Macaca mulatta: one gene and its partners. The main gene of each other region encodes a partner of the protein of the gene in region 2 in a complex. Links are inferred from orthologs where the notes say so. Each region holds a gene or a part of one and is shown on either strand. Other genes may lie near its edges.

Evidence for each region.
Region 1: the proteins of RHOA (region 2) and ANLN are in contact, whole or in part, in a crystal structure (PDB 4XOI), measured with the Homo sapiens proteins. The link is inferred for Macaca mulatta from reciprocal best matches to the Homo sapiens genes RHOA and ANLN. Residues at the interface, in NP_001300870.1 of Homo sapiens: Tyr34, Val35, Pro36, Thr37, Val38, Phe39, Glu40, Asn41, Trp58, Asp65, Tyr66, Arg68, Leu69, Pro71, Leu72, Pro75, Asp76; in NP_061155.2 of Homo sapiens: Met729, Thr732, Val733, Tyr735, Gln736, Ala737, Gln739, Ala740, Cys743, Cys744, Glu748, His749, Gly750, Ser753, Glu755, Glu758, Ala759, Leu762.
Region 3: the proteins of RHOA (region 2) and RAP1GDS1 are in contact, whole or in part, in a crystal structure (PDB 5ZHX), measured with the Homo sapiens proteins. The link is inferred for Macaca mulatta from reciprocal best matches to the Homo sapiens genes RHOA and RAP1GDS1. Residues at the interface, in NP_001300870.1 of Homo sapiens: Ala3, Ile4, Arg5, Lys6, Asp13, Lys18, Lys51, Asp65, Tyr66, Asp67, Arg68, Leu69, Arg70, Pro71, Leu72, Ser73, Tyr74, Lys98, Trp99, Pro101, Glu102, His105, Phe106, Leu179, Cys190, Leu191; in NP_001093897.1 of Homo sapiens: Arg111, Tyr118, His121, Ser171, Glu200, Met201, Val204, Asn208, Glu211, Leu212, Glu213, Ala249, Glu253, Lys290, Thr291, Asp294, Leu295, Val297, Leu298, Leu301, Asp303, Leu334, Leu338, Ala341, Asn342, Ala344, Arg345, Asn346, Asp347, Cys350.
Region 4: the proteins of RHOA (region 2) and ARHGEF2 are in contact, whole or in part, in a crystal structure (PDB 7G9I), measured with the Homo sapiens proteins. The link is inferred for Macaca mulatta from reciprocal best matches to the Homo sapiens genes RHOA and ARHGEF2. Residues at the interface, in NP_001300870.1 of Homo sapiens: Arg5, Lys7, Lys27, Gln29, Val33, Tyr34, Val35, Pro36, Thr37, Val38, Phe39, Glu40, Asn41, Tyr42, Val43, Asp45, Glu54, Trp58, Asp59, Ala61, Gly62, Gln63, Tyr66, Asp67, Arg68, Leu69, Leu72, Ser73, Pro75, Asp76; in NP_001155855.1 of Homo sapiens: Asp215, Ser216, Ser218, Leu219, Asp238, Val239, Glu242, Thr246, His249, Cys342, His345, Ser346, Leu349, Lys353, Lys376, Arg377, Gln381, Glu382, Leu385, Leu386, Thr388, Gln389, Ile391, Thr392, Lys393, Leu396, Leu397, Arg400, Lys423, Leu426.
Region 5: the proteins of RHOA (region 2) and TRPV4 are in contact, whole or in part, in a cryo-EM structure (PDB 9IQX), measured with the Homo sapiens proteins. The link is inferred for Macaca mulatta from reciprocal best matches to the Homo sapiens genes RHOA and TRPV4. Residues at the interface, in NP_001300870.1 of Homo sapiens: Met1, Ala2, Ala3, Arg5, Tyr34, Pro36, Val38, Phe39, Glu40, Asn41, Tyr42, Val43, Glu54, Trp58, Glu64, Asp65, Arg68, Leu69, Leu72, Pro75, Asp76; in NP_067638.3 of Homo sapiens: Lys177, Arg179, Thr181, Glu183, Glu184, Arg186, Pro188, Arg224, Glu225, Asn228, Ser229, Pro230, Arg232, Arg237, Asp263, His265, Ala266, Gln267, Arg269, Asp313, Arg315, Arg316.
Region 6: the proteins of RHOA (region 2) and ARHGEF11 are in contact, whole or in part, in a crystal structure (PDB 1XCG), measured with the Homo sapiens proteins. The link is inferred for Macaca mulatta from reciprocal best matches to the Homo sapiens genes RHOA and ARHGEF11. Residues at the interface, in NP_001300870.1 of Homo sapiens: Arg5, Thr19, Val33, Tyr34, Pro36, Thr37, Val38, Glu40, Asn41, Val43, Asp45, Glu54, Ala56, Trp58, Asp59, Ala61, Gly62, Gln63, Tyr66, Asp67, Arg68, Leu69, Arg70, Leu72, Ser73, Pro75, Asp76, Pro96, Glu97, Pro101; in NP_055599.1 of Homo sapiens: Asn715, Gln717, His718, Glu737, Val738, Glu741, Thr745, Ser748, Ser837, Lys844, Arg867, Arg868, Leu869, Gln870, Arg872, Asp873, Ile876, Met879, Gln880, Arg881, Thr883, Lys884, Leu887, Leu888, Ser891, Arg914, Leu917, Lys918, Val920, Asn921.
Region 7: the proteins of RHOA (region 2) and ROCK1 are in contact, whole or in part, in a crystal structure (PDB 1S1C), measured with the Homo sapiens proteins. The link is inferred for Macaca mulatta from reciprocal best matches to the Homo sapiens genes RHOA and ROCK1. Residues at the interface, in NP_001300870.1 of Homo sapiens: Val38, Phe39, Asp65, Tyr66, Arg68, Leu69, Leu72, Pro75; in NP_005397.1 of Homo sapiens: Lys999, Val1003, Asn1004, Leu1006, Ala1007, Met1010, Asn1011, Arg1012.

What each region holds. Positions count from the first base shown.
Region 1 is NC_133408.1:91,961,004-91,964,503, reverse strand, and holds part of ANLN (anillin), read left to right. Parts: intron 1-1,160; coding exon 1,161-1,383; intron 1,384-3,500. UniProt on the Homo sapiens protein: Required for cytokinesis. Essential for the structural integrity of the cleavage furrow and for completion of cleavage furrow ingression. Plays a role in bleb assembly during metaphase and anaphase of mitosis.
Region 2 is NC_133407.1:112,848,108-112,852,272, forward strand, and holds the start of RHOA (transforming protein RhoA), read right to left. Parts: upstream 2,801-4,165; 5' UTR 2,184-2,800; intron 1-2,183. UniProt on the Homo sapiens protein: Small GTPase which cycles between an active GTP-bound and an inactive GDP-bound state.
Region 3 is NC_133410.1:107,712,748-107,716,247, reverse strand, and holds part of RAP1GDS1 (rap1 GTPase-GDP dissociation stimulator 1), read right to left. Parts: intron 3,370-3,500; coding exon 3,244-3,369; intron 2,153-3,243; coding exon 2,013-2,152; intron 1-2,012. UniProt on the Homo sapiens protein: Acts as a GEF (guanine nucleotide exchange factor) for the Rho family of small GTP-binding proteins (G proteins) that stimulates the dissociation of GDP to enable subsequent binding of GTP.
Region 4 is NC_133406.1:111,003,152-111,006,651, reverse strand, and holds part of ARHGEF2 (rho guanine nucleotide exchange factor 2), read right to left. Parts: coding exon 3,352-3,500; intron 3,006-3,351; coding exon 2,792-3,005; intron 230-2,791; coding exon 156-229; 3' UTR 1-155. UniProt on the Homo sapiens protein: Activates Rho-GTPases by promoting the exchange of GDP for GTP.
Region 5 is NC_133416.1:116,953,056-116,956,555, forward strand, and holds part of TRPV4 (transient receptor potential cation channel subfamily V member 4), read right to left. Parts: intron 1,396-3,500; coding exon 1,079-1,395; intron 1-1,078. UniProt on the Homo sapiens protein: Non-selective calcium permeant cation channel involved in osmotic sensitivity and mechanosensitivity. Activation by exposure to hypotonicity within the physiological range exhibits an outward rectification.
Region 6 is NC_133406.1:109,985,301-109,988,800, reverse strand, and holds part of ARHGEF11 (rho guanine nucleotide exchange factor 11), read right to left. Parts: coding exon 3,453-3,500; coding exon of another isoform or gene 3,406-3,452; exon of another isoform or gene 3,402-3,405; intron 2,405-3,401; coding exon 2,309-2,404; intron 1,100-2,308; coding exon 852-1,099; intron 607-851; coding exon 417-606; intron 1-416. UniProt on the Homo sapiens protein: May play a role in the regulation of RhoA GTPase by guanine nucleotide-binding alpha-12 (GNA12) and alpha-13 (GNA13). Acts as guanine nucleotide exchange factor (GEF) for RhoA GTPase and may act as GTPase-activating protein (GAP) for GNA12 and GNA13.
Region 7 is NC_133423.1:71,438,556-71,442,055, reverse strand, and holds part of ROCK1 (rho-associated protein kinase 1), read right to left. Parts: intron 3,494-3,500; coding exon 3,400-3,493; intron 3,150-3,399; coding exon 3,061-3,149; intron 1,917-3,060; coding exon 1,728-1,916; intron 1,054-1,727; coding exon 894-1,053; intron 1-893. UniProt on the Homo sapiens protein: Protein kinase which is a key regulator of the actin cytoskeleton and cell polarity.

The DNA of each region.
Region 1 (3,500 bases), on a different chromosome or scaffold from region 2:
GTCAATATCATTTTGGTCTTTGGAAGCCTTTTCTTTTTTTGTTATGAGTGGTATAATACATCTGTGTGTATGTACAGGTGGATGGGTGGATATGTGTTTTATAATAGGTGCATAGTGAGTTTATATGTATTTGTAAGATAGCAGTTTCTTAGAAAGTGAAAATCGTTAAGTTGGGTACCCTATCCCAAGATCAATTAGCAGTTGACAGCTGAAGTTATACTAATTTGATGCAAATCCAGTCTATAATGGAATGATAGAGCCTCTTCTTAGTCATTAAGGAGAGCACTGAAAATTAAGTCCTCTGTTATAATGCTTTAAATATATATATATGAGAAATTTATATAAATTTATCAAATATTTCTGAAAAGATGTATAACAAATTAGTAGCTATAGTTGCCTCCGGGAAGGCAAATTGCCAAACAGGGTATGATACTTTCACCGTATATCCTTTTGAAATGTTTGAAACTTTTACTTTGTGCATGTATTACCTCAACAGTTTTCAAAAAACAATCTTAAATAAAAAGGAAAAATAATTTTGTGTTTCTGACCATTGTCTTTTAGTGTACAGCTAGGCTTTAGAATTAGACCTGCATTGAATCCTAGCTCTACCACATAATTAGAAGTGTGACTTTGGACAAGGTGCTTAATATTGCAAGGCTTTATTTTTCTGTATGTAAAATAGGGAAAAAAAGATTATTTGGAGGGTTAATAAGAGTCATAAAACACTTAGCACAGTACCTGGCTATGTATAAGTACTTAATTTATTAACCATCAAGTACATGATACTATTTTGTTAAATTTTTATTGACTTAATTAAAATGTAATTTGGTCTAATATGGTTAAAAATTTGATAAAGGTACTAGTGCAATAATATGAATAAAACTTTTTTTTAAAATAGTGATCGTACTGCTAATACTTAATTACCCATGAATACATTATGCAGACTAACCCACATATTATAATTTAAATGATAGCATTTTTTAAGTTGGGTATTTTTCCCAAATCTTTCATATTTGTTTGATCTATTAGAGAGCAAAATCATTTCATTTTCATAAATCTTACATAAAGGCTATCAAGTAAATAGGACTTGAATTGTTTTGTTATAGGATTACTTTTAGATATTGTGAATGTTGTTTACCCTAGGCGTTTTCATGTTTCAGAAACCTACTTCTTCTCCAGTGAAATCTACTACATCTATCACTGATGCTAAAAGTTGTGAGGGACAAAATCCTGAACTTCCAAAAACTCCTATTAGTCCTCTGAAAACGGAGGTATCGAAACCAATTGTGAAGTCAACTTTACCCCAGACAGTTCCGTCCAAAGGAGAACTAAATAGAGAAATTTGTCTGCAATCTCAATCTAAAGACAAATCTACAACACCAGGTTACGTATTTATAAAAAATTTAAAATTATTGCTGACTATATTCAGGATATCTATTCTCAACATTTTAAATATCCAGTTGTGAATGGTACAGCAATGGTTTGCCAGGGCCAGTGCCTGAATGTTCCAAATGAGACCTCAGCTTTAGTTGATTCAATGAATATTTATTAATGTAGACTAGCCTATTTACTGGTCAAATGACTTAATATGTTACATTTTAACAGTTTAAACATGCTTTTTCCAGGATGATCTTGCTAGATTTTATTTTCTATATTTTTTGATTCAGACAAAGCATATTTAACTGGAAATCACAGTTTAGGGGCATAATGGAGAAACATTCTTGTAGCCAAGGGTGCAGAGCAGTGCTTCTCAATCTTGAGTATGAAGGCACCTCTAATAGCAGAGAGAAGTGAATGTGCATATGAATGACTCCACCTCTAATTTTATTTATTAAATTGATAAATGGTAGAAATATTTGAAAAAATTGCTGTTTATTGGTAAATAATATATATATTTTGGAAGTACATTTGATAATTTAATATATTCATATAATTTGTAAATATCAAATCAGTGTAATGAGGATATCCATCACCTTAAATACTTGTCTTTATGCTAGAAACATTTGAATTCTTCTCTTGTAGCTATTTTGAAGTATACAATAGATTATTGTAAACTATAGCACCCTACTGATCTATCAAACACTGGGTCTTTTTTGTTCTGCCAAACTGTATATTTGTACTCATTAATCAACCTCTCTTCATCCCCCAATTATATCTATCTGTGTATATATTGTGTGTGAGCATTTACATATAAAAGTTCAAAATTTCTTGCCATAGTAAACTGATACTCCAGGAAATGCCATATTTATCTTGTGGTGATTTATATCTTCTGGCACACTTCCACATGCTGTTAATTGAGAAACACAGGACTAAAATATATGGTAATCGAGTTTATTCTGAACTGTGTTCATTTTCATTGGAAAGACTTTTAATTCTAAGGTTTAACTTTCTGAAAATACAACCTCTGCAGAAACTATAGTTCATCATAAAGGGGCAGTAAACAGAAATGAGAGTGGGGAAGCGGTTATGGGGTAGGTAGAAATCAGCAATTTCCAGTTGAGCTGGAATGAGAATTAGAAACAATAGCAAGATCCCCAGATGGAATAGGACTAGTTAGTCCCAATTTTCTAAAGACTCAACGCTTAGATAAGAAGCATGTGTTTTAATTGTTCTTGACTACTGGATATACCCAGAATCACATTTCCAGGGTTTCAGAGATATTTATTTTAGATACTTCACTGCATTCTTAATGGACTGTAGTTTGGAATATGGCCTGAAGTAGTAATAAGTGACAGGTGAAGTCCTCAAATTATGGCCATGGCTCAAATTCTACTCTTTGCTTGTTTTTGCAAGTAAAGTTTTATTGGAGCACAGTCACACCCATTTACTTACATATTGTCTGTGGTTGCTTTCATTCTGTAATGCAGACCAGAATAATTGTGACAGAGGCCATATGGCCCACAAAGCTCAAAATATTTAGTGCCTGGCCCTTTACAGGAAAATATATGCTAATCTCTGATATAGATAAGCCTATTTTTATGTAATACAACCTTAGAATCCTCTTGATGGGAGTGATATATGCCCCATTTGCCCTATTTTAAATTTACTTCATACTGTTTCAAATGAGTGCTGTGGAGTTTTTTGTTTTGTTTTGTTTTGCTGTTTTTGTTTTTGAGACAGGGTCTCACTTTGTCACCCAGGATGGAGTGCAGTGAGTGGCATGATCTCAGCTCACTGCAGCCTCAACCTCCCAGATTCAAGCAATCCTCCTGCCTCAGCCCACCAAGTAGCTGGGATTATAGGCATGCCACTACACCTGGCTAATTTTTGTATTTTTTTATAGAGATGGGGTTCCTCCATGTTGCTCGGGCTGGTCTCGAACTCCTGAGCTCAAGAGATCCACCTGCCTCGGTCTCCCAGAGTATAGGATTACAGGTGTGAGCCACCGTGCCCAACCGAATACTATTTTAAGATACTGTAAAATCAAGGTGTCCTTTTGATAAAATGAATAATCTCTAGTTTTCCTTCTGAAGGAGAAAAAGGAAAAATTCCCTTATTTT
Region 2 (4,165 bases):
TTTATCAAACTGGTGGTTTGTGGTGGCTCGTGCCTACAATCCCAGGGCTTTGTGGGGCTGAGACGAGAGGATCACTTAAGACCAGGAGTTCAAGACCAGCCTGAGCAACTTAGTGAGACCCCTCTCTCTACAAAAAAATAATTAAAAACTAAAAATGTAGCCAGGCGTGGTGGTGCATACCTGCAACCCTAGCTACTCAAGAGGCTGAAGTGGAGAATTCTTGGGCCTAGGAGGTTGAGGATGCAGTAAGCTATGATTCCGACACTGTACTTCAGCTGGGTGACAGAACAAGACCCTGTGTCTAAAAAAAAATATATCAAACTATCATTTAAAGTATATGCATTTTGGCCGGGCGCGGTGGCTCAAGCCTGTAATCCCAGCACTTTGGGAGGCCGAGACGGGTGGATCACGAGGTCAGGAGATCGAGACCATCCTGGATAACACGGTGAAACCCCGTCTCTACTAAGAAATACAAAAAACTAGCCGGGTGAGGTGGCGGGCGCCTGTAGTCCCAGCTACTCGGGAGGCTGAGGCCGGAGAATGGCGTGAACCCGGGAGGCGGAGCTTGCAGTGAGCTGAGATCCGGCCACTGCACTCCAGCCTGGGTGACAGAGCGAGACTCCGTCTCAAAAAAAAATAATAATAAAATAAAATAAAGTATATGCATTTTATTGTACGCAAATTATACCTCCATGAAGGTGATTAAAACAAACCTCAGGTGATTCCAACTTGGGGAACTGGATTCCAAGTCTGGAAAGAGCCGAGTCTAGGAAACATGTTCTTAAGCACCAGGAACCAAGTAGTAAGCCCTGTTTTATTCCAAGAGATCTTAGGGCGCTACTCCCGCTACCCTTCCCCTGCCCTGCCAAAAAAAGGTACTACAAACTGTAACCTGAATAGTGAAAGTTGAAGATAGCTGGACTCAGTGGCTCACGCCCATACTTCCAGCACTTTGGGAGTCTGAGGTGGGAGGATTGTTTGAGCCCAGGAGTCTGAGACCAACCTGGGCAAGACATTGAGATTCCATCTCTACGAAAGGTAAAAATATTAGCTGGGCGCAGTTGCACACACACCTGTAGTCCCAGCTACTCGGGAGGCTGAGGTGGAAGGATACCCTGACACCAAAAGCTGGAGGCCACCATGAGCTAAGATTATGCCACTGCACTCCAGCCTGGAAGACAAAACAATACCTTATCCAAAAAAAAAAAAAAAAAAGGCCGGGCGCTGTGGCTCACACCCATAATCCCAGTACTTTGGGAAGCCGAGGCAAGTGGATCACGAGGTCATGAGTTCGAGACCAGCCTGGCCAACATAGTGAAACTCCGTCTCTAGTGAAAAAACAAACACAAAAACACACACAAAAAATTTAGCTGGGCATGGTGGCGCGCGCCTGTAGTCCCAGCTACTTGGGAGGCTGAGGCAGGAGAATCGCTTGCACTGGGTAGGCAGAGGTTGCAGTGAGCCAAGATTGTGCCACTACACTCCAGCTTGGACAACAGAGCAAGCCTCCGTCTCAAAAAAAAAAAAGGCCAGGCACGGTGGCTCACGGCTGTAATACTAGCAACTATGGGAGGCCAAGGTAGGCGGACTGCCTGAACACAGGAGATGGAGACCAGCCTGGGCAACACGGTAAAACCCCGTCTCTGCTAAAATACAAAACAAAAATTAGCCGGGCGTGGCAGCATGCACCTGTAGTCCCAGTTTACCTGGGAGGCTAAGACAGGAGAATCGCATGAACCTGGGAGGCGGAGGTTGCAGGGCGCCGAGATCATGCCACTGTACTCCGGCCTGGGCGACAGAGCCAGACTCGGTCTCCAAAAAAAAAGTAATAAAAAAAGTAGGCCAGGCGCGGTGGCTCACACCTGTAATTCCAGCACTTTGGGAGGTGGAGGCAGGCAGATCACCTGAGGTCAGGAGATCGAAACCATCCTGGCTAACATCGTGAAAACCAGTCTGTGCTAAAAATACAAAAAATTGCTGGGCGCAGTGGCTCAAGCCTGTAATCCCAGCACTTTGGGAGGCCGAGACGGGCGGATCACGAGGCCAGGAGATCGAGACCATCCTGGCTAACACGGTGAAACCCCGTCTCTACTGAAAAATACAAAAAAAAACTAGCCGGGTGAGGTGGCGGGCGCCTGTAGTCCCAGCTACTCCGGAGGCCGAGGCAGGAGAATGGCGTGGACCCGGGAGGCGGAGCTTGCAGTGAGCTGAGATCCGGCCACTGCACAGAGCGAGACTCCATCTCAAAAAAAATAAAAATAAATGAAAAAAAATAAAAATAAAAATAAAAAGACAAAAAATTAGCCGGGCATGGTGGCACATGCGTGTAATCCCAACTACTCAGGAGGCTGAGGCAGGAGAATCGCTTGAACCTGAGAGGTGGAGATTGCAGTAAGCTGGGATCGTGCCATTGCACTCCAGCCTGTGCAACAAGAGCAAAACTTCATCTCAAAAAATAAATAAATATAATAAGTTAGCTGAAAGGCTGCTGTCTGGCACTTGAGGTAAGTGCTTCTCTCTCACTGAAATCTCATAGTGCTCGCTTACCATTCCCTTTCTACAGAAGAAAAAAACTGAATCAAAAAGGAATCATATTACTGTCAAGGGTCTCAAGCCATCAAGTGTCAGAGCTAGTATTTAACTGTCAGCTTCTCTCCAGAATCCATGCTCTTAAATAAGATACTCTACTGCCTTCCTTTTCTTTGTGTTTGTGTTTGAGACAGAGTTGCCCAGGCTGGAGTGCTGTGATCTTGGAGCACTGCAACCTCCACCTCCCAAGTTCGAGCAATTCTCCTGCTTCAGCCTCCTGAGTAGCTGGGATTACAGTAACCCACTAACACACCTGGCTAATTTTTGTAGTTTTAGTAGAGATGGGGTTTCACCATGTTGGTCAGACTGGTTTTGAACTCCTGACCTCAGGTGATCCACCCACCTTGGCCTCCCAAAGTGCTGGAATAAAGGCGTGAGCCACTGTATGCAGCTTGCCTTCCTTTTCTGAACTTAATATCTTTAAAAGATAAACAGCTTCATTATGAATAACTGGAGAAGTTAAACAAGAGATTTCATCCAGAAAAGAAATTTTCCACACACACACAAAACATCTCTGAACAAAATTGCTGTATCACATAATAAAATTATCTTGTAGAGAAAAGGATTAACAAAGTGCTACAACATCAATATCCATCCTAAATTTACTTCCTTAACCTCTCAAAGCCTATATCCCAAACAACAAACGGAGTTACAAAAAAATATCCTGGTAATAGAGCATGTGATCTCTAAGTCCAGAGAATCACAACTCATCTGCAACATACAGAGTAGGATACAATGGCCACAAGAATACAGTAAAATAAAAATGTATACATAACAAAAGTTAGAATGTTCAACCATATACCTAAAGTCAAAACAAGCAACTTTTTAAAATTATGGAACTGAATTCTTGTGATTTAGAGCAGCTATAAGCTTCAGAAGTTAAAAATCTTGGCCAGGGTAGCTCACGCCCATAATTCCAGCAGGAAGCTGAGGTGGGTGGATTGCCTGAGGTCAGGAATTTGAGACCAGCCTGGCCGACATGGTATAATTCTTGTCTCTACTAAAATACAAAATACAAAAATTAGCCGGGGGTGGTGGGCAGGTGGTGGTTGGCACCTGTAATCGAGCTACTGGGGAGGCTGAGGCACGAGCATTGCTTGACTCACACCTGTAATCCTAGCACTTTGGGAGGCTGAGACAGGAGGACCACTTGAGCCCAGGAGTACAAGATCAGTCTAGGCAACATAGCAACACCCCATCTCTAATACAAAAAAAGAAGAAAAAAATAAAGCAAAAAAAAATTTTTTTTTTTAGACGGAGTCTCGCTCTGTCGCCCAGGCTGGGGTGCAGTGGCCTGATCTCAGCTCACTGCAAGCTCCACTTCCCGGGTTTACGCCATTCTCCTGCCTCAGCCTCCCGAGTAGCTGGGACTACAGACGCCCGCCACCTCGCCTGGCTAGTTTTTTGTATTTCTTAGTAGAAACGGGGTTTCACCGTGTTAGCCAGCCAGGATGGCCTCGATCCCCTGACCTCGTGATCCACCCGTCTCGGCCTCCCAAAGTGCTGGGATTACAGGCTTGAGCCCCCGTGCCTGGCCAGCAAAAAAAATTTTAACACAAATCCTTGGTGGCTCACG
Region 3 (3,500 bases), on a different chromosome or scaffold from region 2:
CTACTAAAAATACAAAATTAGCCGAGCATGGTGGTGTATGCCTGTGATCCCAGCTACTCAAGAGGCTGAGGCAGGAGGACTGCTTGAATCCAGGAGGAGGAGGTTGCAGTGAGTGGAGATCGTGCCATTGCACTCCAGCCCGAGCAACAAGAGTGAAACTCTGTCTCAAAAAAACCCCGAATAAACAAAAACCCAAATAATGGCAACTTGCTGCTTAAAATCCTTTAAGTGCTCCAGAATTCTCTACAGAATCAAGTCCATACACCTTAACTTGGCATATAATTCACTTAATTCCCAGTTTTCAACCTCTCTGGCCACTGTCTCTCTCCACACTCTATGTTCTAGCAATGCTGCTTTATTTGCAGTTTCCTTCTAAAATTATGCTGTTTTACATCTCTGTACTTTTTGTACATCCTGTCGTCTTTGCCTGAAAAGGCCCTTTCCTTCATTCTCTTTCCCTTTCCTCCTGAGAGATTCCTAGTTAGCCCCTAAAATAGCACTCCTTCTATGACACCATCCCAGACCACTCAGACAGTGTGTTAGTCTTTCTTTCCTCTGTTACATCCGAATAGCATATGTAGCTTTAATGCTGTACTTAAGCTAGCTGTTTTTATGTCTGTCCCCTCAATAGATAGTTAATTCCTTTATAGAAACACTATTTTGTAGTATTTACACTGCAAGAACTCAAATATTAACTGTTAAATGAACAAATGGGCATGAGAGAACAGTTATGATGGAGAAGGGGTGAAAGGGGTACCAACGAAGCCATTTTGCTATTCTCTCTTGATAACTTTCGCTTTGCCAACATACTACTTGGTCCTGTGTCAGGGAAAATGTATAAGATTTTAGGGTGGTCTGGGTGAGACAGGTAATAGGAAGGTCCTAGTTAACAGCTGCTTTTCCCCAGGGAAAGTTCTCAAGATTTAGCATCTGATGGAGAAGAACACTCCTGAGGCTAACCAGCTGGGATGGCTATTATGGTGAAGTGAATTATTTATATGAAAGAGATTTATACAAGTCAAGAACAGTTTTAGTTTTATGCTTTTTCTCTTGGCATCTTCTTATCTGTTCTAAAAATAAATGAAAACAGCTGGTGGGTTTGAGTTCTAAACTTTCTCCTCATATATAATCACTACTGAAGTTGTACAAGAGAAATGACTGAAAGGGTCACCTTAGAAAACAGTATTAAAGGCTGGGCATGATGGCTCATGCCTGTAATCCCAGCACTTTGGGAAGCCGAGGCAGGCGGATCATGAGGTCAGGAGTTCGAGGCCAGCCTGGCCAACATGGTAAAACCCCATCTCTACTAAAAATACAAAAATTAGCTGAGGGTGGTGGCGCCTGCCTGTAATCCCTGCTACTCTGGAGGCTGAGGCAGGAGAATTGCTTGAACCTGGGAGGTAGAGGTTGCAGTGAGCCGAGGTTGTACCACTGCACTCTAGCCTGGGCGACAGAGCAAGACTCAGTCTCAAAAAAAAAGAAAGAAAAGAAAAAAACAGTATTTAAAAAATTTAAAAATCATATAATCTAGATACTAAATCAGCTGCTGAACTGCTGGCCTGGGTACTCACTATTGTGATCTTTGAAACAGCTCATCTGTTCATTTATTGGTTATCTACCATGTGCCAGAAAGCTGCACAGTCACAAGAATGGATTTTTTTCTAACTCTGTGAGCTCTGGACATCATATACTATCTAGATATCATTTAATTTCTAAATTCTAAATATCAGTAGCCTGCATGGTCAATGCCTGGCACAAAGAAATGTTTGACACTAATGCTGGTAATGGTGGTGGTAAAAGTAATAACAACAATAGCAGCAGCAACAGCAACCCCCATTTACTGAGTGTTTCCTATATCCCATGTACCAGCTAAGCACATTATACACATGATCTCACTGAATCTTCACAATACTTTCAGGTAAATATTATCCCAGTTGTTAGGACCTACAATGCTGGGTTTCTGAAAAAGACGCTCTGAAGTTTTCTAGTGAACAGTTTCCTCTGGAACTTACTTTTGATTTACTGTGTCGTATAAGGGCAGACAGCAGTCTGTTTGACTCCCCCATCACACCAGCATGATCTTTGGCTTCACACCATTCCACCAAACGCTCCACTAACTTAACATTCTTTCCCAGTTGTTCAGCAGCTTCTGCTATAGGAAAGAAGGCAAACCAAGGAATGAATCACTAACAGACAATCAGCTGAAGTAATTCGTAAAGATTTAAGAGTGTGAAGGAGAAATACATCTAAAAAAACACAGCACAACAATTTCATTAAAGCTAGAACTGCAAATATTCCTTATGTGATGGGCTATTTGCCTTTTTCTGTAACATTGTGAAATTTTATAGAAAATACAAAAACAAATGATTTCATACTCTTTTGGTTAAGCCTGCTAGTCTGTTAGTGCTCTGGCAGACTATAATGCAGGGTTCTTAGAAGGACTCTATGCAATCAATATAGAAAAGGCTTTAGAATTTAGAAATAAGTAAATAAACATAATTCATTCCTAGGAGTGGTTCTGACTGCTGTTTCTGCAAATAGAAAAATGCTCTCCCTGCCACAAGACAAATTTTTAAGATTTTTGACTGTCACAATAATGAAATTTGATTTCAAAGCCAAGGTGAAAATGGGTATAGAATGCCAAAACACAACGCCCTCCCCCGAAATTGATAATAAAGCAAACTAAAACCAGGATTATAAGAATTAATAAGGAGAGATATGGTATAATTTCTACTTAAAGTCAATAATAGGCTGGGCGTGGTGGCTCACACCTGTAATCCCAGCACTTTGGGAGGCTGAAGTGCGAGGATCGCTTGAGGCCAGGAGTTCAAGAGCAGCCTGGGCAACAAGCCCCATCTCTAGTGAAATTCCAAAAACAATTAGCCAGGAGATGTGGAGCATGCCTGTAATCCTAGCCACTCAGGAGGCTGAGGCAGGAAAATTGCTTGAACCCAGGAGGTGGAAGTTGCGGTGAGCTGAAGTCACACCACTGCACTCCAGCCTGGGTGACAGAACAAGACTCTGTCTCAAAAATAAATAAATAATAGTTATAAATAAATAAATAGTCAATTATAACAAGCACAAAAATTAACAAATGGAGTTCCAAAACTAATTTTTTAATCTTTTATTTGCTATTTTTTATGATTACATAATCCTGAAAGCGAGAAACAAGTCTTTTTTCAACTAGAAGCACATTAAGACTATCATACCAAAAATGCAAGTTGGGGAAAACATTTCTTTTACCTTGTGCATCTATTAACATTCTTAATGTTCCCAGAAGTTTGAACTGAACAGGGGGCATTTCAGATTTAAGAAATTTTAAAACTGTCTCTGTGACCCCAGCTGATAACATCTTTGCTTTATTTATAACTGTAGAAAAAGAGAGACTATGGTTAAAATGGTATTAGCATTCCTGTTGATAAACATTCAATTCAATACAGGTTTATTGAGTGTCTTTAAGATCCATGTTATATTTTTCCATTTAGAAACAATTCTGTCAC
Region 4 (3,500 bases), on a different chromosome or scaffold from region 2:
AAATGGCCCCAGGTATCTAAGGATCCCAAGAGCTGGCAAGGACAGTCTGCAGTTCTTTCAAATGTTCCCTCATCATTGGCAAATTGGAGTCCCCAAGGTTAGCCCCCCTCAGTAATGTTCTTCAGTGGGGCACAGGGCAGGGGTGAGGGGCCCCCTTAGCTCTCGGAGGCTACAGCCTCCCCGTCGCGGCTCTCCGTCTCCTCCGGGATGTCCTGCATTCTGGTAAAGTCTGAAGGGGGACAGGACAAAGCCAGTGAGTGAGCAGAGACTCCCATGAGGAACTGTACCCCTATACTAATGCCTCCCCATCTGCAGGCTCAGGGGGCTCTGGGGCTGTGAAGGGATGACAGGGTTCTGTAAATTCTTGGGTGAGAGGAAAACCTCTGGCAACACAGTAAGTGAGGTATCCACATCTAGGAACCAGATACACTTGTACAGTATCCAAAGATACAATCTGATTAGGAAAGTACAAAATACTTTAAGGTTAGAGCTTTTGGTAATTTTTTATTTCATGAACCAACTATAAAAACTTGAAGGTCTTTGAAACTTTTTTTACTTTAAAAACTGGCCTAGTGGCTCATGATTGTAATCCCAACACTTTGGGAGGCCAAGGTGGGAGAATCACTTAAGGCCAGGAGTTGGAGACCAGCCTGGCCAACATGGTGAAACCCCATCTCTAGTAAAAGTGCCAAAAATTAGCTGTATGTGGTGGCACGTGCCTGTAATCCCAGCTATTCGGGAGACTGAGGAACAAGAATTGCTTGAACCTGGGAGGTGGAGGTAGCAGTGAGCTGAGATTGTGCTACTACACTCCAGCCTGGGTGACAGAGCAAAATTCTGTCTCAAAAAAAAAAAAAAAAAACAACTATATCTTCCCAGGCACAGTGGCATGCACTTGTAGCCCCAGCTACTTGGGAGGATCACTTAAGCCCAGGAGTTTGAGTCCAGCCTCGGCAACAGCACGACACCCTGTCTCTAAAATAAAAAATTTCAGAGCGAGATCCTGTGTCTGGGTCTCCTGGTCTCTTTCTGTCGCCCAGGCTGGCGCAATCACAGAGTACTGTCAACTCAATCTGCTGGGCTCAAGCGATCCTCTCACCTCACTCTCACTGTCTGTAGCTAGGACTACAGGCGCACGCCACCACGCCTGGCTAATTAAAAAAATTTTGGCGGGCCAGGCACGGTGGCTCACGCCTGTAATCCCAGCACTCTGGGAGGCCAGGGTGGATGAATCACCTGAGGTCAGGAGTTCGAGACCAGCCTGGCCAACATAGTGAAACTCCATCTCTACTAAAAAATACAAAAAAAAATTAGCCAGGTGTGGTGGCGCATGCCTGTAATCCCAACTACTCGAGAGGCTGAAGCAGGAGAATCACTTGAACCCAGGAGGTGGAGGTTGCAGTAAGCTGAGATCACACCACTGCACTCCAGCCTGGGTGAGAGTGAGACTCCATTTTAAAAAAATAAAAATAAAAAATAAAATAGGCCAGGCGCAATGGCTCACATCTGTAATCCCAGCACTTTGGGAGGCCAAGGTGGGCAGATCATGAGGTCAAGAAATAGAGACCAGCCTGGGCAACATGGTGAAACCCTATGTCTTCTAAAAATACAAAAATTAGCTGGGCATGGAGGCATGTGCCTGTAGTCCCAGCTACTCGGGAGTCTGAGGCAGGAGAATCATTTGAACCTGGGAGGCAGAAGTTGCAGTGAGCCGAGATTTCACCACTGTACTCCAGCCTGGTGACAGAGCGAGAATTCCATCTCAAAAAAAAAAAAAAAAAAAAAAAAAAATTTAGTCGGGCATGGTAGCTCACGCCTGTAATCCCAATCTGTTGGGAGGCCAAAACAGGTAGATCATGAGGTCAGGCGTTCAAGAACAGCCTGGCCAACACAGTGAAACCCCGTTTCTACTAAAAATACAAAAATTAGCCGGGCATGGTGGTGGGTGCCTGTAATCCCAGCTACTCGGGAGGCTGAGGCAGGAGAACTGCTTGAACCTGGAAGGCAGAGGTTGCAGTGAGCCAAGATCACACTACTGCACTCCAGCCCAGGCAACAGTGTAAGACTCCGTCTCAAAAAATAATAATAAAAAAATAAGTAAGTAATTAAATTAAATAAAAAAATAAAATAAAATAAATGAATTTTTTTTTTTGGTAGAGGAGGTGGATCTCACTATGTCGCCCAGGCTGGCCTCAAAATTCTGAGCTTAGGCCGGGCGTGGTGGCTCAGGCCTGTAATCTCAGCACTTTGGGAGGCCGAGACGGGTGGATCACGAGGTCAGGAGATCGAGACCATCCTGGCTAACACCGTGAAACCCCGTCTCCACTAAAAAAATACAAAAAAAGCCAGCTGGGCGAGGTGGCGGGCGCCTGTAGTCCCAGCTACTCGAGAGGCTGAGGCAGGAGAATAGCATAAACCTGGGAGGCGGAGCTTGCAGTGAGCTGAGATCTGGCCACTGCACTCCAGCCTGGGCGACAGAGCGAGACTCCGTCTCAAAAAAAAAAAAAATTCTGAGCTTAAGCGATCCTCCTGCCTTGGCCTCTCAAAGTGTTAGGATTACAGGCCTGAGCCACCATGCCTTTTCTAAAAAAAATCTATTTTTACTTCTAAAGGTTGGGAATCACCAACCAGTTGGAGGAGGGAGGCCCCTCCTGCTTCTTAGAGTTCCACCAACCATTCATCATCAGACAAAACAGGAAGTCCCTCCCTAGAGTTACTATAAGCCTCACAGGTCAGTTAGGGCCCATTTGGAAGCCACAGCCCCAAGGCCTGTACGCAGGCTGCACTCTACCTCTGGTCCATGTCTCCGCCAGGGTCTCACCTCGTGGACTGTGGGGCGGAGACAGACGGCTGCTACCTTCCTCCTCACTGCCAGTGTCAGGGTCACTGCTATCTTGCAGCCGCTCTTCAGGGCTCCCCAGTTCCTGCCTCTCTCGGTCCTCAAAGTGTCGATGGACAGAGCGAGTAGTGACAGGCAGATCTAGGCGGTCTGTGCCTCGGTTGGGCTGTGGACAGTGGGCAGGAAGAACAGCAGGCCAGGGACTGAGTAGTGTGAAGACTGGAGGTTCTGTTTGGCTGAAGGCAGCAGCTCTCCCCACTGGGGCTCACCCATGACTCCCCTTCAGGAGATCCACCACCAACTGGCCTCTTTCAGCACCACCACCCGAGTTAGTTTCCTCCACCCCTGCACCCATCTACATTTCTTTTCAGTTCTCCAACTAGTACCTCAATATCCTTCAAGTCGGTTGCCTGATTGCATTTGGGCTCAAATCCCCAATGGCCCAATTTCTTTTGGGCTCCACGGACCCTTATGTCCACCCCAGGTCCGTTCACCACTGCAGGCCACCTTACCTGTGGGGGGTTGAAACTCAAGTACAGGGCATCGCCTGCAGGGAGGCTGCGCCGCCGAGGATCCACAGGTCTGCGGGCCCAGGGGGCCTCGGCTGGGAGTGGCTCGGTCTGGCCCAGGGCGGCCAGCTGCCTTCGAGCCTCTTCAGCCT
Region 5 (3,500 bases), on a different chromosome or scaffold from region 2:
TAATGGTCTGAGGCTGGGTGTAATGGCTCACACCTGCAATCTCAGCACTTTGGGAAGCCAAGGCCCGCCGATCGCTTGAGCTCAGAAGTTCAAGACCAGCCTGGGTAACATGGTGAAACCCCATCTCTACAAAAAATACAAAAATTAGCCAGGTGCAGTGGTGCACACCTTAGTCCCAGCTACTTGGGAGGCTGAGGTCGGAGAATCACTTGAGCCTGGGAGGCAGAGGTTGCAGTGAGCCAAGAGCGTGCATTGCACTCCAGCCCACAGGATGCCCTGTTTGCATCCTGTAATGCCCAGTGGGGAAACTGAGGCCCAATGAAGTAAGCAATACAGATAAAGGTTAAGAGCAGGCCGGAGTTGTTTCCCTCAGACGCAGTCCTGGGAGGACAACCTTGGGCCTTTTTTTTTTCACTGCACCATTTTCCTGAAATGCACAAAGTAAATATGGGTGCTGTATTCCTGGGCCATGGGGCAGCACTGTTTATTAGGACACCAGGTTTGGAGGCTGCACCTGGCCTGGGAGGGCTGTGATCCCAGGGCCTGCGCTTCCCAGGATTGTACAGAAAGCTTTTGGGAAGTAAAGGCTGCAGCTCCCCGGGGCCAAGGCAGCCCCTATCTCCACTGGTTTCTCCTCTAGGAAGCATGCTCACGGTTGCTAGTAAAAGACCCCCGTGAGAATGCTGACATCCCTGTGCTGGCGTGCTGAAGCATAAAAGCTGCCCCCTGGGCTCAGCATGGGACACCTGCTGAAACGCTGATGGCCACTGAGCACTTTCTGAGCTGGCAGAAGTCACTCAGTCATGCTGGGTGGAGCCAACTGTGTCCTGTGAGCTGAACCACAAGGAGAATCTGAGTCCACTGCTGGTGGCCAGGCAAGAAGCCACCTCGAAATTCATGAGGCAGCTCCGGGAAGTCAGCAGCAGCCTCTGATGCCCATTTTACAGACAGGGAAGTGGAGGCAGAATGAGAAGACACGGCTTGCTCAGAATGGAAGGCCGAGGAAGCCAGTCGGGTGAGTGTCCTTAGAAGGACAAGGGTGGCCGGTGGGATGGGGCTGGGGGCCCTGGGGCCTCACCTGCAGCTTCCAGATGTGCTTGCTCTCCTTGGATACCTGGCCCACCGTCTCGCCCATGAGGGCAATGAGCATGTTGAGGAGCAGCACAAAGGTGAGAATGATGTAGGTCACCAGCAGGATGATGAAGACCACGGGGTACTTGGTGCTGCTCAGCATCTCCAGGTCGCCCATGCCGATGGTCAGCTTAAACAGGTCCAGGAGGAAGGTGCTGAAGGTCTCGCTGTCGCGGCACGAGGGGTAAGTGGGCACTGTGCAGTTGGTCTGGTCCTCATTGCACACTTTCAAGTTGGCACACGGGTTCAGGAGGGAGACCAGGGCTGTGGGAGGGGTGGGGGTGGCACTCGCTGAGTGTGAGGACACGCACAGAGAGGTGGAGGGTGTCATTTTCATTTGCTGGAGGGGAAAGCTGAGGCCTAATGAGGGGAGCACCCTGGCCCACACGCTGACCTGTGTCACCCTGCACGTCAGCCAAGCCACACCAAACCCAGGTCCTCCTGATCCCAAAGCCTTTGAAGCCTTTGCTCTTTCCATAAACTCTTGCTGATAGGAAGAGGTTTTCTCTCTCTCTCTCTCTCTCTCTCTCTCTCTCTCTCTCTCTCTCTCTCTTTCTGTGATGGGGTCTTGCTATGTTGCCCAGGATGGAGTGCAGTGGCTACTCACAGGCGCAATCTCACTACTGAAAAGCATGGGAGTTTTGACCTGCTCTGTTTCCAACCTGGGACAGTTCACCCCTCCTTACACAACCTGGTGGTTCCCTGCTACTGGGAGGGAAGAGGTTTTCAGGATCTAGTCCAGGGAGGGTCTCAGTTTTCCCCACCAGGGGACATTTGACAATATCTAAAGACATATTGGGTTGTTACGACTGGGGGTGGGGGTGCTACTGGCATCAGGTGGGTGGAGGCCAGGGGTGCTGCCCAACACCCTGCAATGCAGAGGATGGTCCCTGCCACTAAGAATGATCTGGTCTCAAATGTCAATAGTGTTGGGAAATCCTAATGCAACCTACCATTCTTAGAGGTACTGGGGGCTCTGGAATGTCCCTATTCCCAGGGGCAGACTCTCTCTCTGACAGCTTCCCACTGCACCCCAACCCAGAGAGGAAAAATGGGGGCTGAAACCAGGCACCAGTCCTGACTGTCCCCGAAGCCATGTTCTCTAAGGGGCCTCTCCTGTTCCAGACATCTCAAACTCATCATGGTTCTCCTTTCCTACTAAGCTCAGGTGAAGCTTCAGATTCCTTCTCAACACAGTTTGGCAGCAACAACCTGTCCCTAAACCAGCCAGGGAGGGGAGCATGAAGAAGGCTCAGTCCCATCAGTCAGTGGGGCATAGAATGTCATATTGCCTGCAACCAGAGATCAGAGTATGCAGATTTCAACTCATATGCTAATGCTCTTCAGTTGTATAGCACCTTCTCAACAGAGAAGGATTCTGAGACCTTGTCTGGACTCACCAGAAAAACTGTTCTGTGATCCATTAGTAATGTCTGCTATGGGCACCAAAGTGTGGGAAGAGAAGCGTGTGTGTGTCCTGTTTATGTCATGTCAGCCTCAGAACCGAGATCTAGTGCATCCTATAAGGAGAAGCCCTGTGACTGAGCTGACTGCTCAGCTGCTACTCTAACCCTTGTTTCTGCTCGGTTTCAATAACTAGGACTGCAGTAAGGCTAGATCGCTGACCTGAATCCCAAACTGCTGAATCCTCGACACTGTCTAGTTTTTCCAGTGTGATCCCTGGAAGGGGAAAGCTGTACCCTGTCCCTATCTCCCTAGTGAAAACCACAATTCCACTTCCCCCCAATAATCCACATAGAGCCTTGGCCACTGTCATGGGTTAAAGTATCACCTTCATGAGATTCCTGTGCCAGGCTCGTCCCCAGATGAACCTGCTCAGATGTGAATGTGTCTGGGTCTAACCTGAGCTGGCCACTCCCCTTTGGATGCTGGGCATTGATGTCAGATCACCCACCCCTCAGGGACCAGCCCAAGGACTTGGTCAGTTTCTCCAGCCCTGGTCCCTGGTCCTTCCCTCATGGCCCATGCCACTGAGGTCCCAGAATGCTTCTGAGTGGCATTGTGACATCAGGGAGAAGGTGTATCAAAGGGAGCTGATGTCAGGCTTTAAGAAAATACCTGGGCTAGTAGTTTAATTATTAAATTTTATCCTTCCATGTATCCATGCCCCTTCAATGTGGCTTTACAGCTTCTCCCACCAAGAAGTGGAGTCTAGGCCAGGCACGGTGGCTCATGCCTATAATCCCGCACTTTGGGAGGCTGAGGTGGGAGGACTGCTTGAGCCCAGGAGTTCAAGACCAGACTGGGCAACATAGCGAGACCCTGTCTCCACCCAAAAACAAGAAAAAAAAGAAATGACGTCTATTTCCCCATCCGTTGAATCGAGGCTGGCCTTGGGACTTGCTTTG
Region 6 (3,500 bases), on a different chromosome or scaffold from region 2:
CTTGGGCCCAGGAGTTTGAGACCAGCCTGGGCAACATAGCCAGGCCAGCCCTTGTCTCGAAGAAATAGAAAATATTTATATTTTATATATGTATATATACACATACACACACACACACATATATATGTAATTTTAAAAAGTACAGATCTTAGATGTGAGACCAGGCTCCTCCTGGTTTGTTACCTCCATATACAAGGAAAAAGAGGGCTCAATTCTAAGCTCCCCATTTTTCCAGGGAGCTTCTGTGGGACTTCCCTAAAAAGATCCCTCTCTGAAGCTGAGGGAATGAATTCGTTTCACTCAAGGGGAAACCAGACTCTGAGAACCACTATCTCTCACTGCTTAGTGATGTGTCCTCACCAGGTGGCGGACTTCTCCCCTATGGTAGGTCCTGAGAGGGACCTGGCTTCACTCACCATCCTCAGGGCAGGGCCCCAGTTCATGGCTGTTCCTGGAGTCAGAAGCCAGGGGCTCCTTAGTGGGAGGTGAGAGGGAGCCGTCTGTCCATCTAGCTGCTTCTGTGTGGAAACTGCCCACAGGCGTGGTGCCACCAGATGACTCTCCCCCGAGGGACTTGAGCAGCTCTCTGTGGGCCAGCTCCATATCCTGGAAGAGTCGGCGGGGGAATGTCTGCTCAAGTCCTTCTATTCCTAAGGCCCCTGGGGAAGGGGTCATACTCTGATCTGTGCTGGGCCTTGGGGATGGGGCTGTGATTTAAGGGTGGCTGGGGGAAGATTCCCGGGCCAGGACAGGATCTAGGGCTCCCGCGAAGACACACATCTCACTCATGGGGAATGGTTTTGGAGTGATGGACTGAAGGCCTGCAGGGACCCAAGCCCTGTTTCCCTCACCTTGAGCCTGTTGAGCTTGAGGGTGAGCTGCTCAATGGTACGGAAGATCATGCCTACGTCCCTGAGGGCCAGGCTTGGGGGAGAGCGGCTGAGGCGTCTTGGATCTCCATTGCCTCCCTGCAGCTGAGGCCGAGGCTCTGCCTGCCCTGCAGGGACGCTGTCAGGCTGAGGGGGGCTTGTGGGTACCCCTGAGTGGTCGGTGCTTGAGTCCAGGGGTCCTGCTGGCATGCTGACATAAAAGCAGTTCCCTGTCCCCACAGTAAGAGAATGAGATCAGGAGGCAAACAGAGAAGTTGAAGCTATCCTCCCGCTCCTGTGGGATTCCCTAGTCACCCGACAGAGCAGGCCAGGCAGTCCTCTCCAGATGAACTTGCAGCACACGGGCCTTGCTCACTGTCTGCCAGCCCCCTAAAAGCCCTGCTCCCGCGACTTTCTTTTTTTTGAGACGGAGTCTCGCTCCGTCACCAGGGTGGAGTGTAGTGGCGCGATGTTTGCTCACTGCAACCTCCGCCTTCTGGGTTTAAGCAATTCTCCTGCCTCAGCCTCCCGATTAGCTGGGATTACAGGCCCGTGCCACCATGCCCAGCTAATTTTTGTATTCTTAGTAGAGATGGGGTTTCACCATGTTGGTCAGGCTGGTCTCGATCTCATGACCTCGTGATTCGCCCGCTTCGGCCTCCCAAAGTGCTGGGATTACAGGCATGAGCCACCGCGCTCGGCCACTCCCGAGATTTTCTAGATGGCACTTTGTTCAGTCTGGCCCCAACCCAGGGGAGATGCTGAGTGGTGAACTCAAGGGAGAAGTGGCAGAGCTGCAGTATTTCATTTGGGGAAATCAGAGTGGCTCCCCGTCCTTGAGTAAACAGATTGTGGACTGGTTTCAGGCTCTTTTGAAAGGAGCAGGCAGCAGCCCTCCTGCCCTGCCTGACTCCAGCTCTGGATGAACTGCAGCCCCGCCCTGCCCCTCTTCCATCCATGCCTTGATCCTCTGGAGGTCCCTTGACCCAACCAAGGGGTGTCAGAGAGAGCTGGAGGAAGGACGTGGAGGGTTCCTGACAGGCAGGAAGCACAGAGGACCACTGTGGAACCTGGGGGGCCCTTTCAGCTGATTTCCACAGTGACACTGGAGCGGCGGCTGAGGTGGGGAAGTGGCTGCTCGAGCATCAGGTGAAGGACACTGGGTCCCCAGAACCAGGCCAGGCTTCCCTGCCCCTCCCACAATTGCACACAGGCATTTATCCCTGCCACTCTGAACAGGAGCCTGGACAGGTGGATTCTTAAGACAGCACAGGGCCTGTCCCTGTCTTTAGAGCCAGATCTTCCTCCTCCTCCCCATTCCAGGCAGCTGAGGGAGCTTGTGGGTGTGTGTGTGACCATGGGCAGGGGTCTGACTCTGCCCTCACAGGTTCCACACTCCAGTCCTGGCCTGTCTTTAGCTCCAAGGAGAAAGTTATTACCCGTAGCCTTTGTTCCGCCTTCCACTTCAGGTGGCCCAGGCTCTGGCTGGCCACTCTCTGGTAGTGCAGGGACAACCTTGCTGCCTGCCACCTCAGCTGCACCGACACCACCACCACCAGGAAGAGGAGAGACCAGAAGACAAGGAAAGGGAAGGGAGAGAGAACAGGAAGGAGAGAGGGCAGGAGGTGGGGACGGGGGAGGAGAAAACGGGAAGAACAAGGTGAACACAAGCTCATACACGATGACATCCCAGGCAGTGCAGAGAACTTTCCACCAATTCACCAGCAGAGAGAGAAGGAAGGTCAGTTCCCAGAAACCCAGGAGAAGGCGGGCATTGGGCAGATGGAATGAAAAATGCTGCTGGAAGGGCGGCAGAGTGGAACCTCAGGGGAGGGCAGGCCCACTAGCGCGGAACCCCACCCCAGGTGTGCCCCAGGTTTTGTTCTACCTTTCTTGCCACCCTCTCAGACCAGCCCACTCTTCCCGGGGCAGGGACCTTCCTCCCTGGGCTCACTGCTTGGGCTGGGCAGACCTGTCGGCCTCCCTGTGAGCTTGTCTTGGCTTTTCTTGTCTCAAGGCTGCCCATGGTGTTTTCCAACCCGGGGTGCCCTCCCTGCCACCTTATTCACTCCCCATACCCCTCACTCGCCAAATGTCTTCTCAGCTTTGTCTTCCACCCCTTCCAGTCCCAGCTGCCACCTCTACTGCCCTAGGTGCTGTTGCCTGGTGTGAGGGGCTGCATGCACCTGCCCTGTCTTTCCCAGCCTGAGGCTCCTGAGAAGGGCGGCTCTTTTCTGTGGGACCAGATGAGTGAGGAGCGCTAACAAGAGACTGGTTGCTGGTAGCTGGTTTGTGCCAGGCAGAAGGAAATGTCCTTATGTGTTACAAAATGAAGTTCAGAGATGATTCAGAATTTTGTGTAAAGCCACACAGATATTAAGTGGCAGAGCTAAGCTCTGAATCTCGACTGCCTAACTCCAAAGCCTGCCTGGTATCAGCGTGTCTCCTTCATCCAGGACCAAGTGTAGGTCTCTGCTCACACGGTACCCAGGGGGAATATAGGGAAGGAAGCAGCTATTCGGAAGACTTATCTCACCTAGCAAGGGAGCTTGTCTCCCCACTGGACACTCCCATTTATTTTACCTTTTCTTACAACTTTGTAACCTCCTGCTGCCTCTGTGCTTGAAGCAT
Region 7 (3,500 bases), on a different chromosome or scaffold from region 2:
AATATCAAACATGCTGCTTCATAAATATCTTCCTATTTATGGATTATTCAGAAAATACACTAATTAAAATCTATTTTCAAGTTTATGACCATATATACAAAACTTCCAAGACTCTGAACTAAGACTCTGTGTATATGTAAATGCATGTTTTAATAATGATAACCTATTCATTTTACTTCTAAACTGAACTTATAGTATACGTATTTCTCATCTCTGTAAAGTACATAAATGTACTGTAGTTTACATGACGATTAAGCCAAGAATGAAGTTGTGTTTATTTTTAAATTGATTCTCCACTGGGAAAAAGAAGACACAGAAAAAAGTCTGAAATCTTAGCCACTCATTCCTGCCTTTATTTGACACCCCTGGCCTCTTACTGCACTGCCCAACCCCTTTTATCTATTTCTCCAAACTTAAAACTTAACAAAGTCTGATTGAAGTTGATCACTACTCCACTAGATAGGCTTCTATACATAGCTGCTGTGATTCTGATGATAAAGTACAGTTCCTAGTTTTAGCACAAGAATACAGAAAATGTTAAAGATCTATTACTGACAAAAATGTACAACTTTTAAAAAATAGCGAGATGTGTAGTAGCAGCTTTGACTCTCACTGTGGACTTAGGCTGCTCAAAATAGGTTCATAAACCTCTTATGGTTTTTATTCAGGTAAAGCTTCTTAGGTCTATTTAAATAGCCTAAGATTGCTTACAACTGCTGTACTCCATAAAATACACCAAGTGTATAATCATCAGGCCTTGGCTATCAGAAATAAGAATTCCTTCTTAGGAATCCATGGATAGAACGACAAGGAGGTAGAAACCCAAATGAAAGAAATATACACTAATTTCCATGACATTTATACATGTTTGAATGATACAGAATTATTCTTACCTGGGAGGTTTCCATCAGTTTCATCAGCACTAGGAAAACTAGCAACACTTGTAGAATCCGAGAGGTCCAAAAGTTTAGCACGCAATTGCTCAATATCACTCTCTTTGCTGGCCAACTGCATCTGAAGCTCATTCCTATGTGCACATTCTTCTACCAGTTGCTAATTTTGAAAAGTATCAAGATAATATATAATCAAGCTAAAACAATTTCCAACATTATTAATTGAAATATAATAAAGTAATTTAAATTGCTAATACTAAAAATGTACAGTAAACTTCATGAATGTTTGCTACCACAGATTTTGATACACTACAGAAATGTCAAGTTCTCAGTAATACATTGCTCGGACAAATTCCTTTTCTACTTGCCTTAAAAAGAGTTTTTGTTTTTGTTTTCAAACATAAGCCATCAAAAAAAAAAGTTACAATAGAAAATGCTTTTCTGGCTCCAAATGAAGTAGCTTTAAAGGTACAGAAAACTTCAGAAAACCATAATTGATGGAGCTAAAAAGCTTAGATCTAAGTGCCTGAGACCAGGTTCTCAATTTTGTTCTATTAACAAGCCAAGAGGTATCAAAAAATTAAGCTTGTTATTTTGATTTCAAAAAAGTGAGTCTTGACTAGAGAAAATAAATAAGCTACAATACTTCAAAACCTCTACCCCAATTACAGTTAACATTAAAACAGCCATATCCCAATTACAGTCTGAAACCAAACAGGCGGAACCCTTGATTGTTCCCAATCTAAACAAGATAAACAGATAACAAGTATATACAGAAATAATTTAAGAAAATAATCCTTCACACTCGTGTCCATACACACACACAAACCTTACCGCTTGCATGTCATTCAGCTCCTTCTGATGTTTCACTACCATCTGGTTGAATTTCTCTCTTTCTTGGTTGAGTTCCAGTTGTAGCTTTCGATTTTCCTTTTCTTTCTTTCTCAAATCTTGTGTATTAGCTTTCTTTCTATCAATTTTAAAATCTTTTCGATTCATTATTTCTGCCAACTTGTTAACAGCCTATTAAAATATTAATAAAGATAAATAGTGTAGTCATCCAATTTAATACTAAAATGTATTTTTTTCTTCAAAATAAGGAAGCAGGACTTTTTGTGTGTATGAAAATTCAGACAACTTAATGACGGTTGAGACATGATAACTGGTAGCACAAGTAACTAACACTGATTTATCACACTACTCAAATGTAAGAACCAGGAGCCTTTCCTTGGTTAACTTTACAACCCAGTACTGAATCAAGAGTATGTTAATCCTACTCTGATGTTGGGTACTAGCAAATAAAGCTTCTATGCCTTGGCCACATACTCTTATCTTCTACAACTGTACAATATTACTAGGTAAGTTAGCTTTCTTAACTGAAATCCTATTCTTTTTTTTATTTTTGAGACCGAGTCTTGCTCTGTCACCCAGGCTGGCATGCAGTGGCATGATCTTTACTCACTGCAACCTCTGCCTCCTGGGTTCAAGCAATTCTCGTGCCTCAGCTGCCTGAGTAGCTGGTATTACTGGAGCGCACCACCATGCCCGGCTAATTTTTGTATTTTTAGTAGAGACTGGGGTTTCGCCATGTCAGCCAGGCTGCTCTCGAACTCCTGGCCTTAAGTGATCTGCTGGCCTCAGCCTCCTAAAGTGCTGGGATTACAGGCATGAGCCACCACGCCTGGCCTGAAAATCCTATTTCACAAGTAAGTTTTTTATAGTTAGCAGGGAGAGAATTTACGTTATTTGGCCAGGCGCGGTGGCTCAAGCCTGTAATCCCAGCACTTTGGGAGGCCGAGACGGGCGGATCACAAGGTCAGGAGATCGAGACCATCCTGGCTAACACGGCGAAACCCCGTCTCTACTAAAAACACAAAAAATTAGCCGGGCGAGGTGGCGGCGCCTGTGGTCCCAGCTACTCGGGAGGCTGAGGCAGGAGAATGGCGGGAACCCGGGAGGCGGAGCTTGCAGTGAGCTGAGATCTGGCCACTGCACTCCAGCCTGGGCGACAGAGCGAGACTCCGTCTCAAAAAAAAAAAAAAGAATTTACGTTATTTGTTCTGATGAAAAGTTTGAACCTTATAATCCTTGGTTTTAGGAAAAAGTGCATAAAGAGCAACGATTAACTCAAAAATGAACATGTGGAAAAGATTGAAAGCATGTATACCTGTGTTTTAAGGGTTCGCTCAGTGTTGATATTCTTTTCAAAGGCAGCCTTAAGATTACTGATCTCCTCCTCCTTCTCCAATTTATATTCTGTCAACAAATTATATTAAATGTTATTGTATGGTATTAATTTCTGCATCTCAAACTAACAATGTCCTTAATTATTCAAATGAGTATACACTACATATTAACTTTCAGTAACTTCATTAAGATAATTCTTAAGGCTACAGAAGTTACTTAATATATGAAAACAGGTATCTTAGAAACCTAACACAACATAGGTAAAGGTAAATCACTGAATTTGATTTAACATGATAATTTAAAAAAAAATTCTACATACCTTCCTCTGCCTTCTTCATTTTCTCTGTTAGCTCTTCGTTCTCTCTTCTTAATATTTCCATATCTTTGGTTAGCATGCTGTTTGTTTCTTCAAGCTGAACA